Linked DNA regions of Mus musculus: regions 1, 2 and 3 are each reported to be linked to region 4. The links are microRNA targets in miRTarBase. Many come from high-throughput screens and were not tested one by one. Region 4 holds a microRNA gene; each other region holds the end of a gene's coding sequence.
The links. Region 4 holds the annotated microRNA mmu-miR-466a-3p (UAUACAUACACGCACACAUAAGA, at 2,797-2,819, shown strand). A microRNA usually pairs through its seed, bases 2 to 8, with sites in the 3' UTR of a target mRNA and lowers its output. Matches are read on the target gene's strand: a 7mer-m8 pairs with bases 2 to 8, a 7mer-A1 pairs with bases 2 to 7 and ends in A, and an 8mer does both.

Region 1 (5,159 bases), not on the chromosome of region 4:
TTAAACCTATCTGGTCCTGGGCTTTTTTTGGTTGGGAGACTATTAATGACTGCTTTTATTTCTTCAAGGGTTATGGGACTGTTTAGTTTATCTGATCCTGTTTTAACTTTGGCACCTGGTATTTGTCTAGAAAATTGTCCATTTCATCCAGATTTTCCAATTTAGTTGAATATAAACTTTTGTAGTCGGATATGATGATTTCTTTAGATTTCCACAGTTTCCATTGTTGTGCATCCCCTTTCATTTCTGATTTTATAAATTTGGATTCTGTCTCTGTGCCTTCTGGTTAATCTGGCTCAGGGTTTATCTGTCTTGTTTTCTCAAAGAACTAGCTCCTGGTTTTGTTGATTCTTCGTATAGTTCTTTTTGTTTCTATTTGGTTGATTTCAGCCCTGAGTTTGAGTATTTCCTGCTGTCTACTCCTCTTGGGTGTATTTGCTCTTTTTGTTCTAGAGATTTTCAGGTGTGCTGTCAAGCTGCTAGTGTAAGCTCTCTCCAGTTTCTTTTTGGAGGCACTTTGGAGCTATGAGTTTTCCTCTTACCACTGCTTTGTGTCCCATAGGTTTTGGTATGATGTGTCTTCATTTTGATTAAATTCTAAAAAGCCTTTATTTTCTTTATTTCTTCCTTGACCAAGTTATCACTGAGTAGTTTGTTCAGTTTCCATGTGTATGTGTGTTATCCATTGTCTTTGTTGAAATTTAAGACCAGTCTTATTCTGTGGTGATCTGATAGGGTACATGGGATTATTTTAATCTTCTTGTATTTGTTGAGACCTGTTTTGTGACCAATTATATGGTCATTTTTGGAGAAGGTACCATGAGGTGCTGACAAGAAGGCATATTCTTTTGCTTTAGGATGGAATGTTCTATAAATATGTTAGATCCATTTGGTTCATAACTTCTGTTAGTTTCACTGTGTCCTTGTTTAGTTTGTTTCCATAATCTGTCCATTGCTGAGAGTTGGGGTGTTAAAGTCTCCCACTATTATTGTGTGGGATATGATGTGTCCTTTGAGCTTTAGTAAAAAGTTTCTTTTCTGAATGTGGGTGTCCTTGCATTTGGAGCATAGATGTCCAGAATTGAGAGTTCATCTTGGTAGATTTTTTCTTTGACCAGTAGGAAGTGTCCTTCCTTATCTTTTCTGATTTTCGGTTGAAAGTCGATTTTATTCAATATTAGAATGGCTAGTCCAGCTTGTTTCTTGGGACCATTTGCTTGGAAAAATTGTTTTTCAGCCTTTTACTTTGAGGCAGTGTCTGTCTTTGTCACTGAGGTGCATTTTCTGTATGCAGCAAAATGCTGGGTCCTGTTTATGTATCCAGTCTGTTAGCCTATGTCTTTTTATTGGGGAATTGAGTCCATTGATGTTAAGAGATAGTAAGGAATAGTGATTGTTAGTTCCTGTTATTTTTGTTGTTAGAGGTGGAATTATGTTTGTGTGGCTATCTTCTTTTAGGTTTGATGAAAGATTACTTTTTTGCTTTTTCTAGGGTGTAGTTTCCCTCCTTGTGTTGGTGTTTTCCATCTATTATTCTTTGTAGGGCTGGATTTGTAGAAAGATAATGTGTAAATTTGGTTTTGTCATCGAATATCTTGTTTTCTCGGTCTATGGTAATTGATAGTTTTGCTGGGTATAGTAGTCTGGGCTGGCATTTATGTTCTCTTAGGGTCTGTATGACATCTGCCCAGGATCTTGTAGCTTTCATAGTCTCTGTTGAAAAGTCTAATGTAATTCTGATAGATCTGCCTGAATATGTTACTTGACCTTTTTCCCTTAATGCTTTTAATATTCTTTCTTTGTTTAATGCATTTGGTGCTTTAATTATTATGTGACAGGAGAAATTGCTTTTCTGGGCCAGTCTATTTGAAATTCTGTAGGCTTCTTGTATGTTCATGTGCATCTCTTTCTTTAGTTTAGGAAACTTCTATACCTATTATCCTTAGGTTTGGTCTTCTCATTGTGTCATGGATTTCATGGATGTTTTAGATTAGGAGATTTTTGCTTTTTGCATTTTCTTTGATTGTTGTGTCAATGTTTTCTATGGTATCTTCTGCCCTTGAGATTCTTTCTTCTATCTCTTGTATTCTGTTGGTGATGCTTGCATCTATGACTCCTGATCTCTTTCCTAGGTTTTCTAACTCCAGGGTTGTCTCCCTTTGTGATTTCTTTATTGTTTCTATTTCCATTTTTTAGATCTTGGGTGGCTTTGTTCATTTCCTTCGCCTGTTTGATTGTGTTTTCCTGTAATTGTTTAAGGAATTTTTGTGCTTCCTCTTTAAGGGCTTCTACCTGTTTACCTGTGTTCTCCTGTATTTCTTTAAGGGAGTTACTTATGTCCTTCTTGAAGTCCTCTATCAGTGTCATGAAAAGTGATTTTAGATCTGAATCTTACTTTTTCTGTGATGGTGTATCCAGAACTTGCGATGGTGGGAAAATTGGGTTCTGATGATGCCAAGTAACCTTGGCTTCTGTTGCTTATGTTCTTAAGCTTGCCTCTCAACATCTGATTATCTCTAGTGCTATCTGACTGAAGCCTGTCCTTCCTGTAATTCTGGTTGTGTCAGAACTCCTCAGAGTCCAGCTGTCTCTGTGATCCTGTGATTCTGGGATCCTGTGATCCTGAGATCCTGGGTATGTCAGAGTTCCTGGGAGTCAAGCTGCCTCTGGGACCCTGAAAAACTGGTGTGACCAAGCTCCTGTGATCCTGTGATCCTAGGTGTTAGAGTGCCTGGGAGTGGAGCCCCCTCTGGGTGTTGTAGGACTGGCACAAGGAAACTAATGCAGACCAGGAGGAAAGGGGAAGTTTGAAAAGACTCAGAAATATTGAAGAAAAAAATAATCTGAACTGTTGGAAATGACAAACATACTAATTCATAGAAGAAGCTCTGTAGAAAATCTCAGAAACAGAATGGATCAAATAGAAGACAGACTACCTGAGCTTAAAGATAAAGTATAGAACTGGAATAATCAAGCAGGGATAAAAATCAGAAGATGTCAGTGGGAAATCCATGACATATGTGACACTCTGGAAAGATCAAACCTTTGAGCAATAGGCATAGAAAGGGAATCTAGTTCTAAAGGCATAGAAAACATTAAAGAAAAAAAAAAAGACAGTTTTCTAAAGTTAGGGATAGAGATGCTTACCCAGCCTGTACTGGTTAGTAGGCAAGTGTGTGGGACATTTTCTTGAGAAATGGGTGATGTTGGGGGGCCCAGACAACTATGGGAGGAGTAACTCCTTGACAGGCATTCCAGGGTTGTATAAAAAAGACTAGTGAGCCATGGGGAGCAAGGCAGTAAGCAGCATTCCTCCATGATCTCTGCTTCAGCTCCTGCCTCCAGGTTCCTGCTTCAGTCACAGCCCTGGCTGTCCTCAGGCTATGATGTACAAGTGTGAGATAAGAGTCCTTTCCTCCCCAGTTGCTTTTGGTCAGTGTGCTATCACAGCAATAAAAAGCTAAGTAGGACAGATACCAAGAGATGCTCCAAATAAATGGACCTAAGAGGCAAATGCCAGTGTTCTAACATCTAACAGAACAGGCTCAAACCAGAACTAGTGGAAAAGGATAAAGATGGTCACTTCCTGTTGTTTAAGAGAACATCAAGAGGTCATAATGACTGTTAACACATATGCACCCAATTTCATAATACTGTATAAGCCATATACACTCTTGGGCTTGAGAACAGTACCTGCCCAACAACCACAATGCAAATAAAGGTAAAGGAAAAACAGAATGAACAAATACAAGATAAGTACTTACCTGGTGTGGTGGTGTATGCCTTTAGTCCAGCACTTAGAAGGCAGAGGTAGGAGGCTATAAGTTCCAGGTCAGCGTGATTTATACATCCAGTCCCAGGACACCCAGCACTACATAAAAACCCTGCCTTTAAGAAAAAATGTTATCAAAAGAAGGGACTCTACTATATTAAGGGAAAAATGATAACATAGTTTATTTCCACATAAGGACAAATTATATTCCAAATAATCACATAATTTCAAGAAGACTTTTCCTAAAATATTTTTACAAACTGTAACCCTATTGCTTTGAATTCTAACCCTGATGCCTTGAATTCTGGAAAAGTCATCTTGTACATTAGTATTACCTTAAACTGAAACATTCTAAAACAGCCATACCTTCTACGGGTCTCATTTACGTTGCTGAAAAATCTTTCTAGATATCTTTCATGATAAATGATGCTGTTAATAATTTTACTCTGAGGAATTGTATTTTAGTGATTTTTCCACTTTTACAAATAAAGAACACATATACATACATATCACACACACACACACACACACACACACACACATTTTTCTAATGGCTTGTACTAGTGACCAGGGAGTTACATTTTGTCAAACCCAGGTTGAACAGAGTTGAATTCAGATTAATACAGAGAAAGGCGTGCTCTGGATGTGTTGTCCTTTGTATTTCCTGAAGCATTAGGTGAATGGTAAAAACTTCAAAGAGCTTCTTGTTACTCCTGTAAAAGAATGGGCACATTATTTAATTGCTTATAAACTTGAGAGAACGTATGCAAATGTGAGGAAATAGCACTTGCTTTTTAAGAACAATGGAGAAAATGGCTGACTACAGGATTAAGATACTAAGAAAACTAGGTTTTAGGAGTTAAGGCCAGAGTGGAAAGACATTAAAGGCAAAAAAGAAAACTGTTTATATCCTGAAAACTGATCCCTGTTTACTAATAGAAAAAAAAAAAAATCTACTAGGTACAAGGAAGCCCTGCTTCCCAGCTGGCCAGAACCTAACTGTTACCTGAGGGATCTACAATGAATGCGCTGCTTTTCCTCCCTCACAGACACTTGGGCTCTGTGCAGTGCTGCGTACTCTTTAATCAGGTAGGCAGATCTGAGGTCCAGGACAGCCTGGGCTACACAGCAAGTTCTAGGATAGTCAGGGCTACATAGAGAGACCTTGTCTTACAAAACAAAAGAAGAAATAGGAGAAGGGGGGAAAAGAAGAAAAGAAGAGGAGGAAGAGCAGGAAGAGAAAGAAGAAGGAAGAGGAGGAAGAGAAGGCATTCAGTAATTTCGTTTTAGTTAGAATTGTATCTTAAATGTAAAACAGAACTTCATCATATTTTATTTTCTTATCTGGGTGTATCTGCCTCTTGAGAGAAATTATAAAATAGCCCTG
Region 2 (5,159 bases), not on the chromosome of region 4:
GATGTCCCGAAATGTTTGTTCAAACGTAGTAGGCAAATTCTAGTTTTGTTTCTGGACAGCATCGTGAGAAATTCACTGCTCATGTCGTGTGTGTGTGTGTGTGTGTGTGTGTGTGTGTGTGCATTTATGTCACAGAAAGCCCTGCGAGCTAAAGAATACGAGTGTTTCGTGATGAAAATCCAAAGGCTGGAGAACCTGTGTCGTGCTTTACAAGAGGAGAGAAAGGAACTCTACAAGAAAATCAGAGAAGCAAAAATGTCCGAAAAGGAAGACCAGGTTCAGCGCACCTCTGAGGAAGAGCCAGAGCCAAGCGTCTCTGAAAATGAAGAGGTGGACGCAGAGGAAGCCAACAGTTTTCAAAAAGCTGTGGAAAACCTGGCCACAGCTTTTACCATCCTTCATCATCCAGAGTTCACCCCAGACCAACCAACGGAAAGACAGCTGGCAGTGAATGGTCCTCAAAGTGGAAGTGATGTCACCCACCAGCACCCCGAAACAGCCCGTTTAAACCATCCCAGCCTTCCCGCTGATTCAGGGAGTCCTCGGCCCCCTGTAGGTGCTCAGGCTGTGGCGGAGGGCGTCTGTGAGGCCACACCTGCCCCTACAGCCTCCTGTACCCCTGCAGAGGCAGAGCTACAAAGTCAGGGTCTCCCTGCAGAAAATACCCCGGGTCCGAAGCCCCATAAACCAGAGGCAAACACTTCTGGTCAGGCCCCACTGTCCCCAGCCCAGGGCTCCCTATCTGTAGTAGAGGCAAAATATGATATTTCACCATCTCCAGAGAGTGAGGGAGATTCTGCTGTGGTGCCCGGCTGTGAGTCTAGGGAGCAGCCCCCACCAGAAGTCACAGACATCCCCGTAGGCCCTTCCACTGGACTCCCCAGAGAGCCCGATGCTTGTCTGAATGGAGTAGACTAAGCCTTGTTGATTCTTCTGGCTGCTCACCTGACTGCATCTTCCTCACAGAAGAAAGTCTGTGAAAGAAACTTCTAGGACTAGGAAGAGTTAGAGTCAAGACATTTTTAAAGTTGTACAGAACACTTCCAGTCTTTGCTGCTGTTTGCAATTTATAACTAATATGGAAATTCTCTGTGATTTGGCAGCCAAACACATCAATAGCAAATATACATTACTTTCCCATTACATTGGTGCCTTAATCCAGTTTGTTAGCAGTAAGATTTTGTATTTAAGGACTCCCACTATAACAAATAAATACACTGAAATATTACATTTATTTCCACAAATAACCCAATAAGATCTATAATGGATATCCAGGTTCCATTTAAATAGCATAATATACAGTGTACTTATGTGTATACACAATACACATAAATACATTTATGTATACACATACACATGTATTTTCATACGTGCATATAAAGTCATCACACAAGTATATTTTGCTCCTAACAGATTTTTCTCTATTGCAAGATATGCTTGTAAAAATTTTTCTATCTTACTTACACTCTGGACTACAGTAGATTAAAGCTCTATGGATCAGAAATAGCACATGTGCTACAATGCCTGGACACAAAGAGGACCACAAGAGGCTTTTAACAGAAAGGGGAAAAAACACAAACAGGTGCTTCTGATCTTCTCAGCCAACTTCCTCCCAACTTCCCAGCATCACCTCCTGGGTTGAGGCAGCCGCCTCCTGGCTACCTGTGAGAAGGTGGTTGGAAATAGAGAAAGCACCTAAGTAAGATTTGAGAGGTTGAGTATCCTCAGCTTAGAGGTCTCAGCCTCTTTGACTACTGATATCTCAAGAAAACACTTTTTGTTGTCTCTGACATTGTCTTTATCTCAAAGCATCTATTCCTTCCAAATTTCCTCCTTTGCGTCAATGTGTGTGCCTGGCCCACATCTCAATTAATGTTAAGTAAAATGTATTTTTCCAAAACGGAAATACATACGAGCTCTCAATAGGAGTAACAAGGCTTACAAAGCTAACACATTTTCTGCTCTAAGAATTTTTGAACAGGCAGAAGTACAAAATTTTTAAAAGGGGGGGGGGGCCTCCTACTCATAATTCAAAAATAACAGGCAAGGACTCCATAGATGTCAAAAGCAAGAAGCACTTGGGATTACCCAAACAAGTTTTATACTCTCATTGTTCGCAAAAACCTCTAATAACACTGGCAGCATAAAATGCTCTGCCTAGGCTCAAAGAAAACTGTACTAACAGAACAGGGAGAGGTGGGAAGGAGGGAGACAGAAGGTGCATAAAGAGAGGACGGTCTAATCTAACTCTATGTTAAGAAGTTGAACACAGGTAGAAATGTGGATAAAGGAGGATTCTTGAAAACTCATCCAGGAAATCACTCTTCAGTGGTGCACGTGGCTGCTTGCCAATGCACACGAGGAGCTGGGAGGCAGTAGCCATATGTTGAAGGAATTATAAAACTGTATAAAATTTATTTGAAGTAGACAGTAAGGGAAAGAACAAAAATACCATTTGGGGAAAAAATCAGGGGAAAAAGCATGCCATTATTTGAGAACCCATGTGTTTTCAGAGGCTTTGCATATTATAACCACACGGGTATCCAGCCAAGTTCAACACCACTGGAAATTAGACATTCAATTAACTCAAAGCCAAATATTCACTACACTAATCCCTTCTCTCTGTTTACAGGAGCTGAGCTTCAAAGAACAGAGTAGGATCATCACAGTTAGGTCTCAATCCAAGAGCTTAGGAAGACAAACAGGCAGGAGGCACTGACATCCAATAAATTAAGTGTTCTCATATCCAAAGTTTATTATTTTCATCCAAGAGGGTTTCACAGCAACATATCACTCACAACTGTGTGTACCTTTGGCACAGTTTCACAGACTACACCTTCCCTGAAATCTGTAAAGCTTTAATATAGACTTTGGGAGAATTATTTTAATAGTAAAAGAATGTTTTATTATAGTTCCTTGTGTTCAAACTTGGCTGTACTAATCATAACAACTCATAAGATCTGAAAGCAGAAAATATATCTCTTTTTATGAAGTTCATATAACTATTTTTAGAGATGCCAAGTCTTTCTAGAAACACTGGAATTATTGCTTTCTAAATGTAATAACATAATGTTTATACCAATTAAAAAGGCATTTCTTCCAAGTTTTCTAGTAGGTTTTTTAAATTATTTTTTATTGGATATTTTCTTTATTTACATTTCAAATGTTATCCCCTTTCCTGGTTTCCCTCTCTCCCAGAAACAATCTATCACATCCTCTCTCCCACTGCTTCTATGAGGGTGTTCCTCCATCCACCCACCCACTCCACCTCCCTGCTCTCATTTCCCCTATACTGGGGCATCTATTGAGCCTTCATAAGACCAAGGACCTCTCCTCCCATTGATTCATGACAAGGCCAACCTCTGCTACATATGCAGCTGGAACCATGTGGACTCCTTTGTTGATGGCTTAGTCCCTGGGAGATCTGGGGGGGGGGGGTCTGGTTGGTTGATATTGTTGTTCTTCCTATAGGGTTGCAAACCCCTTCAACTCCTTCAGTCCCTTCTCTAACTCCTCTATTAGGGACCCCATGCTCAGTCCAATGGTTGGCTGCTAACATCTGCCTCTGTATTTGTAAGGCTATGGCAGGGCCTCTCAGGAGACAGCCATATCAGGCTCCTTTCAGCATGCACTTCTTGGCATCCATAATAATGTCTGAGTTTGGTAACTGTATACAGGATAAATCCCCAGGTGGGACAGTCTCTGGGTGACCTTACCTTCAGTCTCTGCTCTACACATTATCTCCATATTTGTTCCTGTGAGTATTTTGTTCTCCTATATCTGATACAGGGCTAATATCCAATATATACAAAGAACTCAAGAAGTTAGACTTCAGAGAACCAAATAACTATTTTAACGATCAAAAACTCAAGTGACAGCAGATGCTGGTGAGGATATGGAGAAAGAGAAACACTCCTCCATTGTTGGTGGGATTGCAAGCTGGTACAACCACTCTGGAAATCAGTTTGGTGGTTCCTCAGAAAACTGGACATAGTATTACCTGGGGACCCAGCCATACCACTCCTGGGCATATACCCAGAAGATGCTCCAACATTCAATAAGAACACATTCTCCACTATGTTCATAGAAGCCTGTATAGTAACCAGAAGCTGGAAAGAACCCAGATGTCCCTCAAAAGAGGAATGTATAAAAAAAATATGGTACATTTACACAATTGAGTACTACTTAGCAATTAAAAACAATGAATTCATGAAATTTTTGACAAATGGATAGAACTAGAAAATATCATCCTGAGTGAGTTAACACAATTGCAAAAGAACACACATGGTATGCACTCACTGATAAGTGGATACTAGCCCAAAAGCTCCAAATAACCAGGATACAAATCACAGACCACTTGAAGCTCAGTAGGAAGGAAGACCAAAGTGTGGGATTTTTTAATTCCTTTTTTTTGGGGGGGGGCTATATTTTCCCATGATTTAAGAATACCTAATTAAAATATGGCATTATTCTATTTTTGGTTGAGTTTGGGCTTTCTAAATAAAATGTATATGTAATAAATCCTTTGAGGATATACATATACATGCTATGAAGGGGGAGGGGCTAAGGAGTAGAGGGAGGGGGAGAGATCATAGCAATAAGGCTGTAACAAAAACCACTGTGAAAGAAGAGGCCCAAACAGGATGCCCACATGCATAGCTTGACATCATTTCCTGCAAGCACAATTGCTAGAAGCTTAATCTCCAAAGTCACATGGGTTTGTAGGTAGGGCCTTTAGAAAGTAATTAAGATTAGAAGTTGTAGCAGGATGTGGTGGCCCATGCCTTTAATCCCAGAACTCAGGAGGCAGAGACAGGCAGATCCCTGTGAGATTGAGGTCAGCCTGGTCTACAGAGTTAGGTTGCAACAGCCTAGACTGTTAAACAGAGAAACCCTGTTTCGAAAAACAACAGGAGCAAAAACAAATATTAGAAGTTGTGACTAGGACATTCATCATGATGTTAGTGGCTTCTATAAGGGAAAAGAGACCTGAGCTAGCATCTTTTGGTAGGTTCAGTCATGCCACAATGCAGCAAATAATCCCTCTTCATTGCTGAGCAGATAAGCCCTGTTCTCTTCATTAAATTACATTTATTTATTTATGTGGGGGTCAGGTGCATGCCATGCCATGCCATTATCTTTTTTTTTTCTCTTTGGTT
Region 3 (5,159 bases), not on the chromosome of region 4:
ATTATGCCCCAAATTTTGTCCAGCTTGATGTACATAGCAAGAGATACATGGCAGGACATTATTGTTTAAGAAAGAAAGGAAAAAAAAATGCACTATCCACTATATACCACCATCACCATGTACTTAGGGAATTGTATAAACGTCATGTCCTCAGTATCATCTGGAGTTGATAACAGTGAATTCAGTAAATTGTAATGTACTAGGGTATGATGGATGGACCTTATGGTGACAATAAAGCCCTTGGTAAATTGGGCAGGAGTGTTGCATTAGTACTAAGCCTGAAGCACAACATTCAGTAAATCAATATGCTGGGTGAATATGCACTTGTTAGTAGGTTTGAGCATTGTTTGGGATGATACTAGTGACATCGAGTGGAATTTAATAATTGAGTTTCAACATTCCTAATCCAGTTGGTAAGCTCAGTAATTTTAGAGATATGGATGGGTATGTATATGGAGAAAATCGTGGACATTGTATTCAAGTGTGGAGGCAGAGGTTCATAGACTCCCAGAGCTTGGGAAGCTGACCTGGAGGGAATCAAGTACAAGGCCTGCTGGGCTTATATAAAATATACTGCTCAAAAAGCAAGCAAAGCATTCTGTCTGGCTTAGTATGGTTTGAAAACAAGCCTTTTCTTTTCTCTTTCAGATTTCCATAAGACGGCACCCTATGTGGTTACTGGCAGTGTAGATCAAACAGTAAAGGTGTGGGAGTGCCGTTGATTGAGTCACATTTGGTTCTTCCTCCCTTTTTTCCTCTGGATGCACTCTGATGATACCATGGTTACCCCATTTGAGCTCTGTTTAAATAAATATTGTCCTTTCATGTAAATTATTCTGGATGTAGATTGAACTTATTAAATGTTACACACAAAGTATTCATGCATGGTGAATCCAAATTGTATACTGTAAATTTACATATGTTGTCTAGAAGTACCATAGGGTTTAAAAACCTGGGCTGGCATTGGTCACACCAGGCCTACAAGGGCAGAAGTTAAATAAATTGAACTAGGGCACTAAACTGAATAGTTGACAGTGTCATTTTATGTTGGATTATTAATTACTGTTTTTCTTCCTGCTATCTGTTGGTGCCTGACTTGATGGCCTCATTTTGGGGAAAGTGGTGGTTATTAGGGCTTTTTCTGAAATGTGTATCTATGTAACATCACTTAAGTGTGCTTACTAAATCTTTAAGGGTGTTAGATAATAAGACTGCAATTCAGAATCTTTGCTCCATCTGTGTAATGGGGATTACACATGAAGTTTTTGTCATGACCCCTTTGCCAAATCAATAGGATATGTTTGTTTTGGCAGCCTATCAAGCAAAGGCTAGTGGTTTATTTATGTAAGAAAATGATCGTAATTCTCAAGAAAAATCTCAGCAGCTAATAGTGAATCCTTTTTCATTTGGGTCTTACTGCTTTGTAAACAGGTCAGGAAGCACTGTCCTACTTTAGGCTTCTCTTCACACTAGACATGCGAGTTGTATTCTCCAGACTGTTGGACTGTGTAGTGATGTGACTCCCCAGTAGAATTTGATCTTCCCATTGAGTGTTATGGTACAGATCACTATGTGTTTATGATGTTTTTAGGGATGTGCAATGTGCATGTCAGAATTATGAATGCTGACAAAGCTGGGTGCGCATTTTAAAGGAGTGGAAGGAACAGTTTCCAACATGACCCTGATAACAATTCGAACTGTTTCACTTACAAGCTATAAAAAAAAGTGACAGGGTGTAATGAAGCGTGCATAGAATATACTGGGTTTTTTTTTTCTCATGTTTTGTTTATATGTAAATGTTTATAAGTATATGGGCCTATCTGTAAGTGGATATGTCTATATATGTATATCACACACATATAACCTCCATGTTGTTGGGTCTTAAGTTTTTGAAGAAGTGCTAAAACTTACGCATAGAGTAAATCTTGCTGGGGAACACCAACCACAGCCATGCTAAACTCTTCTGCTGTTTCTGACTCTGAGGAGCTTTTCTAAGAGAAAGTCACTTCCTTTGTTCTCCCCTCTAATGTGGCCAGTCACCATGTTACGCATTCCTCATAGGCTGTATATTTTGATCCAGAGTTTCTACAGTAGGTTTAAGAGAATTTTGCCCATGACTTTTGGAACACTATTCCATTGTCAATTTTTAATAAAGAATTTATCACCTAGCTAATCAACTTTTTTTTCTTTTTAAGAAAATCAATTTGAAAGGTTAACAGAAACAATGACATAACAGTGACAGTCTAACAATGATAATTTTTTTTTTCTGGACTGCATTTTATTCGTTTGTATAATAGATTTTTTAAAAATCCCTTTAAGTATTGAATGGAAATTTGGTTCCTGAAAGGACAAAGGGTGAGAATTAATGTCCTGTAGATATACACAAGAGATTAGGCTCTGACAGAAGCTCACTGTCTAGCTTGTGTGCTTTTGTTTGTTCACTTGTTTGTTCTTAATATTCCTCAGAGATTTCTCTAGAAAGGAAAAGTGTTTTGAGAATTAAGTGGTTATTTTTGAGGACAAAAACTCCATCGTGACTCCCATAAACAACACTGTAGGTTGGCTTTTAGGACAACATTGCCTCACAGCCCTGCTTACATTAAGAAGTCTTTTTCTCCTAGCTGTTCTGACTGGATTTTTCTCCAAAAGCTATAGAAAATACCTTCGTTCTCATTTGCTGCTATTTCCTGTCCTATTTCAAGAATATAAATACATAGAAATGGTGCATCTTAACATTTGTTTGTATGTGTTAAAATGTCTTGTTTTTTAATTCAGTTTTAGCATGTAGCAACATGAATTGTTTAAGGGTAAGCCACAACATCTAGACATCATTCATAGAAACAATAAAGAATGGTACCAATGTAGAGGAGCAAAGCTGCTGGGTTTCCTCCCCTGCAGCAGTGACTCACTGACAACGGAGGAGAGAGTGCTCTGTAACAAAGCTGTCCTTACTTGGGAGAATGCCACAGCCTGCTGCTTAGCTGAGTTACCAGACATCATCCATTTAAGCAGCAGAAAACATTGAATCTCAGGGATGGTCCACAGCTGGATCCAAACTTAACGAGCCCTGTTTGAATAATGAAGGGTGGCGGGGCAACATCCACATCTGGCATCGGATTTGCAAAGGTTTCTCACACTGTTGTTTGACACTGCCCTGTTGATGCCCTTACTCTTATGTTACTGTTTTCTCTGTCTGCTGTCTAACCCTGTGCCTTGCCTGGGATAAGGACAATGATAAAGTTACTGGTTTGGGTTGTAAGTAGAGGACTTTATGAATTGGTTAGCGGTTCACTGCTGCTTTGTTACTTTCTTGAGTCAGATTGGCTGCTTACTAAATAAAAAGCTGATAGAATTGTGTACTCGGATGGTTGTTGATTGTGTGTGTAAACAGACATTCCAGTGCCACCTATAGCACAGCGTGCCCAAGAAGTCCTAACCGCATGGAGAGTGCAAGCTGCAGGTTGGTTTGTGTAGACATGACCTGAAGAATAGTTGCTTTTCACATGACATCTTGCACTTTAGGAGACTAAGACCGTCCTGTTCTGTCTGCATGTGGTGTGACCAATGGTGTGCTCAGAGCACTACCCACAATCACTAGTATTAGCAAGCCGTCCCGGGCCGTGATGCACTATTAGTCCTTTGGAAGCTTTGGCTTTAGGCTCACCAAGCCCAGTCTCCTGTTTGCCTCTTTCTGTTCTTTGTGAACTTCCAGATAATACCACTCACTAAAGTTTATTTTTTTGTTGTTTGTTTTTTAATTTAAAAGAAAAAAACTATTTAAAAATAAGGACATTTTGTTTGTTGACAGTGGTGGCTTGATAATCCTTAAGCAACAAGTTGAAATAGAAGGAAAAGGCACTTGAAAAGGTTACTCTTCCTGTCCAGCTGTATATAAACCCAGTGTGTTGATTAATCTAGATGGTGCAAAAAGGAATGTCATGGTAGACAAGCAACATGGGCAAAATTGCAAGAAAGGTTTTGGGTTTTTTCCAGTGGGCTGGGTTGGGTGGGATGGGGTAAGCTGGACTCACAAGTCACGACTGGACGGGCCTTTTTATCCTTTCACTGTATCATGTAAGTAGCTGCTTTCTTGCCTGCTTATCCTTCAGGCATCCCCAAAGCTCACTCTGAAGACGTTAGAAATAAACACAAACTCTACGAGTTAGAAGCCGGTCCTGACACTGACATGAAGGCAAACATTGATTTCATATGAACGTTGCAGAGGTGGTCATTGGAGAAAACAGTTCCCAGATTGTTAAGAGTTCACCGAAGATATCGACAAAATTTTAAAAATCAGTAAAGGAATGTATATAATATTGCTCTTGTGTTTTACAGTAAGATTTGTTGCTCTCAGACTGTGTAAAACAAAATTTATCCATGTTTTCTGCATATTAAAAATCTTATTGTACCAATTGGTAAACTATTAAATGCCTATAAAACTAGATCTGGTGGGGTTTTTTTCAATGGTCATTGGGGGTGAGGTTGTGTTGATCTTGGCAGGAAGTGAGACTTGGGCACCAGCAACAGAAAGAATGTTAGTTGGCCATAAGCAACAGAGCTGTGCTACCACTGCCTTTTGCTGTTGTCTACCCCTTATCTGGAGGGAGCAGCATGTAGGTAGGTCTCTCGTAGCCATAGGCTTGAGCCTAACTAGAACTACTGACTGCACTGCACAGCTAAGCACACTTACTGTCTCTTAGAGATACAGACTCAATTCCAGAGATGAGGGCCCTGCCCATTTTGTATTTATCATCTCTTACCTTGGAGATAAACATCCTTAATGTCAGGTTTTATGAAATATACCAGAGTAAGTCTTCACTTTGTTCTAGGTGCTCTGTCTCGTGCTGGTGCCTCCTGTTGGAAGGTGTCTTCCCAACCAAAAGAAGCAGGGCTGTACTTGGCCAGTTTTTCTACTAGACCTGACCGATTTCCCTCTGGTGGAGTTCTAACTTAAATATCATATCCTGTTGTGAATTTGGAAACTGGTTGTGGATCACATGTTGGCCTCTGTCCTGAAGGCAGGGAGATAGCTCTGTGCAGGATGCCGGCTGCATCCTTCCTTCCTGGTTAGTCTGGTGAGAACTTGTGCAGACATGAATTCAACTGCTAGCAGCAATTTTCTGCTTCTGAGTCAACATATCCTCGTTAGACATGTATAT
Region 4 (5,159 bases):
GTAAGTGCCTGCATGTATATGCGTGTATATTTTATGCATATACATACACACACCTACACACACATGCACACAGACATGCGGGAATGGCCCTCACGGATCCATTTGAATGAAATGTGACCTACTGCTTTGGAGGTTATGTATGACTGGGCCAGGGTGAGGTCTCACAAACCACAGGAAAACCCTTGGTAGATTCGAGAAGATCAGGAGTGCAAGTTCATGGTAAAGGCATGATGAGTTAGAGGTCATCCTGGCATTCATGTGATTGCCCCTATGTATGTGTGTATGTGTTGATGTGTGTGTACATGTACATGTGTGAATATGATATACATATACATACACGCACACATAAGACACATATGAGCACACAGACACATGGGAATGGCACTCATCAATCCATTTGAGTGATAAGTGACTTAGAGTGAAAATGCTTGCTAGAGTTAAGAGTATCAGGAGTTCAAATTCATACTTATCCTCATGAGAGATCAGCCTGTGATTCCTCCATGTATGTGCATGTGTGTATAGTTGTGTGTGCATGTTCATGTCTATATTTGAATATACATAACATACACACACACGTATAAACGCAAGCACACATACACAGACACAGGAATGGCATTCGCCAATCCCTTTGAATGATAAGTGATGTAGAGTTTTAGAGATTATGCAATAGGGGGCATTGAATGTCCTCACTCACCAGGTGTAAACGATTGACAAAGTCAGGAGGATAAGGATTGCAAATTCATGCTTAACTTCATTTGGAGACATCTTGGTATTAATGTCATGCAACCCATGTATGTGCATGTGTGCTTACTTGTATGTGCATTGTATGTGTTGACATGATATACATAACATAAACACACGTGTATATGCAAGCACACACACACAGGAAAAAATTGCATTCATTTATACGTTTGAATGATACGTGACTTAAAGTTTTCAAGATTATGCAGTAGTGGGACAGTGAATGGTTTTACTCACCAGGTGTGAAAGATTGTGGATCAGGAGTTCTAATTCATGCTTTACTTCATGATGACTTAGAGATATGCCTGGGATTCATGTGATGCCCCCTATGTATCCCTATCTGTATCTGTTTCTATTGTGTGTGGATTTGAGTATATGGATGTACCTATCTACACAAATATATACATGTACACAGACACAAACAGTAACACACACACAAACATGAATGCAACTCATCGATCCATTTGAATGATATGTGACTTAGAGTTTTAAGATTCCTCATTACTGAATGGGGAGAGGTCTCACTCAGCAGGAGAAATCCCTTGACAGAGTCAGGTGGATCAGGAGTTCAAATTCGTGCTGAATTTTGTGATGAGTTCATGATCAGCATGGGATTCATCTTATGCCCACCAAAAATGTGCATGTGTGTATAGTTGTGTGCATATTCACTTCTCTATATGAATATGCATATACACACATGCACACACATTCATAGGAATGGCCAGAGCTATGTCTCAGTTAGGAGGTGAGCACTCTTGTCAGTGTCAGGATGAGGAATTCAAATTTATGTTTAACTTCATGATGAGTTAGAGTTCAGCATGCGATTCATGTGATGCCCACCAAGAATGTGCATGTGTGTATAGTTGAGTACATATTCACTTCTGTACATGAATATGCATATACTCACATGCAAACATACTCCCACGAATGGCCCGAGCTATGACTTAGTTAGGAGGTGAATACTCTTGCCAGCATCATGAGGATGAGCAATTCAAATTCATGTTTAACTTTATGATGAGTTAGAGATCAGCCCGGAATTCATGTGATTTTCCCTGTGTTTGTGTTTATGTGTATAGGTGAAGTGTGCGTGTACATGCGCGTATATGAACATGCATATATATATATATATATATGTATATATATATATATATATATATATATATATATACACACACACACACACACACACAACTAGGGAAACATACATGTGCACACAAACACACATGGCAGTCATCCTTTTGATTTATACGTGCTTAGAGTTTCATTGAGTGTATATTCATGGTATAGGGAAAAATCTCTCTTATCAGATGAAAACCACTTGCCAGAGTTAGGAGTCTCAGGAGTTCAAATTCATGCTTAACTTCATAATGAGTGAGAGATCACCCTGTTTTTGTGTGATGGACCCTAGGTATGCACAAGTGCATATAATTTTGTGTGCACGTACATGTGTTTATATGATCATACATATAAATACACACACATACAAATGTAGTCACACACACAGGCATGCACACTCACACAAATAAGAATGACACTCATTGATCCATTTGAATGATATATGTCTTAGAATTTTGCTGATTATAAAGTAGGACAGTGAAGGTCTCACTCACCAGGTGTAAACAATTGACAGTGTCAGGAGGATCAGGAGTTCAATTTCATGCTTAACTTCATGAGCAGTTAGAGATCATCCTGGAATAATGTGATGGCCCCTATGTATGTGCCTGTGTGCGTAAGTGCCTGCATGTATATGCGTGTATATTTTATGCATATACATACACACACCTACACACACATGCACACAGACATGCGGGAATGGCCCTCACGGATCCATTTGAATGATATGTGACCTACTGCTTTGGAGGTTATGTATGACTGGCCAGGGTGAGGTCTCACAAACCACGGGAAACCCTTGGTAGAGTCGGGAAGATCAGGAGTGCAAGTTCATGGTAAAGGCATGATGAGTTAGAGGTCATCCTGGCATTCATGTGATTGCCCCTATGAATATGTGTATGTGTTGATGTGTGTGTACATGTACATGTGTGAATATGATATACATATACATACACGCACACATAAGACACATATGAGCACACAGACACATGGGAATGGCACTCATCAATCCATTTGCGTGATAAGTGACTTAGAGTGAAAATGCTTGCTAGAGTTAAGAGTATCAGGAGTTCAAATTCATACTTATCCTCATGAGAGATCAGCCTGTGATTCCTCCATGTATGTGCATGTGTGTATAGTTGTGTGTGCATGTTCATGTCTATATTTGAATATACATAACATACACACACACACGTATAAACGCAAGCACACATACACAGACACAGGAATGGCATTCGCCAATCCCTTTGAATGATAAGTGATGTAGAGTTTTAGAGATTATGCAATAGGGGACATTGAATGGTCTCACCCACCAGGTGTAAAAGATTGACAAAGTCAGGAGGATAAGGATTTCAACTTCATGCTTAATTCAGTTAGAGATCATCCTGGTATTCATGTGAGGCCATCCATGTATGTGCATATGTGTTTACTTGTATATGCATTGCATCTGTTGACATGATATACAAAACATAAACAAACGTGTATATGAAAGCACAGACACAGAGAAAAAAATTGCATTCATTTATACGTTTGAATGATATGCGACTTAAAGTTTTAAAGATTATGCAGTACTGGGACAGTGAACGGTTTTACTCACCAGGTGTGAAAGATTGTGGATCAGGAGTTCTAATTCATGCTTTACTTCATGATGACTTAGAGATATGCCTGGGATTCATGTGATGCCCCCTATGTATCCCTATCTGTATCTGTTTATATTTTGTGTGGATTTGAGTATATGTATGTTCCTATCTACACAAATATATACATGTACACAGACACAAACAGAAACACACACACAAACATCAGTGCAACTCATCGATCCATTTGAATGACGTGTGACTTAGAGTTTTAAGATTCCTCATTACTGAATGGGGAGAGGTCTCACTCAGCAGGTGAAGTCCCTTGACAGAGTCAGGTGGATCAGGAGTTCAAATTTGTGCTGAATTTCATGATGAGTTCATGATCAGCATGGGATTCATCTTATGCCCACCAAAAATGTGCATGTGTGTATAGTTGTCTGCATATTCACTTCTCTATATGAATATGCATATACACACATGCACACACATTCATAGGAATGGCCAGAGCTATGTCTCAGGAGGTGAGTACTCTTGCCAGTGTCAGGAGGATGAGGAGTTCAAATTCATGTTTAACTTCATGATGAGTTAGAGTTCAGCATGCGATTCATGTGATGCCCACCAAGAATGTGCATGTGTGTATAGTTGTGTACATAATCACTTCTGTATATGAATATGCATATACTCACACGCAAACATACTCCCATGAATGGCCCGAGCTATTAATCAGTTAGGAGGTGAATACTCTTGCCAGCATCATGAGGATGAGTAGTTCAAATTCATGTTTAACTTTATGATGAGTTAGAGATCAGCCGGGAATTCATGTGATTTTCCCTGTGTTTGTGTTTATGTGTATAGGGAAGTATGCCTGTACATGCGCGTATATGAACATGCATATGTATATATACACACAACTAGGGACACATATATGTGCACACAAACACACATGGCAGTCATCCATTTGATTTATACGTGCTTAGAGTTTCATTGAGTGTATATTCATGGTATAGTGAATAATCTCACTTATCAGATGAAAACCACTTGCCAGAGTTAGGAGTCTCAGGAGTTCAAATTCATGCTTAACTTCATAATGAGTTAGAGATCACCCTGTTTTTGTGTGATGGACCCTAGGTATGCACAAGTGCATATAATTGTGTGTGCACGTACATGTGTGTATATGATCATACTTATAAATACACACACATACAAATGTATTCACACACACAGGCATGCACACTCACACACATAAGAATGACACTCTTTGATCCATTTGAATGATATATGTCTTAGAATTTTGCTGATTATAAAGTAGAAGGACAGTGAAGGTCTCACTCACCAGGTGTAAACAATTGTCAGTGTCAGGAGGATCAGGAGTTCAATTTCATGCTTAACTTCATGAGCAGTTAGAGATCATCCTGGACTAATGTGATGGCCCCTATGTATGTGCCTGTGTGCGTAAGTGCCTGCATGTATATGCGTGTATATTTTATGCATATACATACACACACCTACACACACATGCACACAGACATGCGGGAATGGCCCTCACGGATCCATTTGAATGAAATGTGACCTACTGCTTTGGAGGTTATGTATGACTGGGCCAGGGTGAGGTCTCACAAACCACGGGAAAACCCTTGGTAGAGTCGGGAAGATCAGGAGTGCAAGTTCATGGTAAAGGCATGATGAGTTAGAGGTCATCCTGGCATTCATGTGATTGCCCCTATGTAT

Region 1: miRTarBase lists Ccdc138 as a target of mmu-miR-466a-3p. Seed matches in the 3' UTR shown: 7mer-m8 at 4,275-4,281 and 8mer at 4,270-4,277.
Region 2: miRTarBase lists Txlnb as a target of mmu-miR-466a-3p. Seed matches in the 3' UTR shown: 8mer at 1,340-1,347.
Region 3: the mRNA of Pafah1b1 is a reported target of mmu-miR-466a-3p. Seed matches in the 3' UTR shown: 8mer at 1,842-1,849 and 7mer-A1 at 4,305-4,311.

The regions. Positions count from the first base shown.
Region 1 is chr10:58,575,015-58,580,173 of GRCm38, reverse strand. It overlaps Ccdc138 (coiled-coil domain containing 138), which reads right to left. Exons shown (of 16, transcript NM_001162956.1): 16 at 3,930-4,485. The coding sequence ends at 4,320. Among named protein-coding and RNA genes, the nearest start is that of Ccdc138, 80 kb to the right of the region's middle.
Region 2 is chr10:17,842,563-17,847,721 of GRCm38, forward strand. It overlaps Txlnb (taxilin beta), which reads left to right. Exons shown (of 10, transcript NM_138628.3): 10 at 136-3,101. The coding sequence ends at 918. Among named protein-coding and RNA genes, the nearest start is that of Gm20655, 9.5 kb to the left of the region's middle.
Region 3 is chr11:74,673,232-74,678,390 of GRCm38, reverse strand. It overlaps Pafah1b1 (platelet-activating factor acetylhydrolase, isoform 1b, subunit 1), which reads left to right. Exons shown (of 11, transcript NM_013625.4): 11 at 649-4,442. The coding sequence ends at 722. Among named protein-coding and RNA genes, the nearest start is that of Cluh, 26 kb to the right of the region's middle.
Region 4 is chr2:10,493,523-10,498,681 of GRCm38, forward strand. Mir466b-7 (microRNA 466b-7) reads left to right here and starts at 2,746; the gene lies at 2,746-2,833. The region is part of intron 10 of Sfmbt2 (Scm-like with four mbt domains 2); the gene reads left to right. It overlaps Mir467a-7 (microRNA 467a-7), which reads left to right; the gene lies at 1-70. Mir466b-6 (microRNA 466b-6) reads left to right here and starts at 276; the gene lies at 276-365. It also overlaps Mir669a-9, Mir467a-8, Mir669p-2 and Mir467a-9.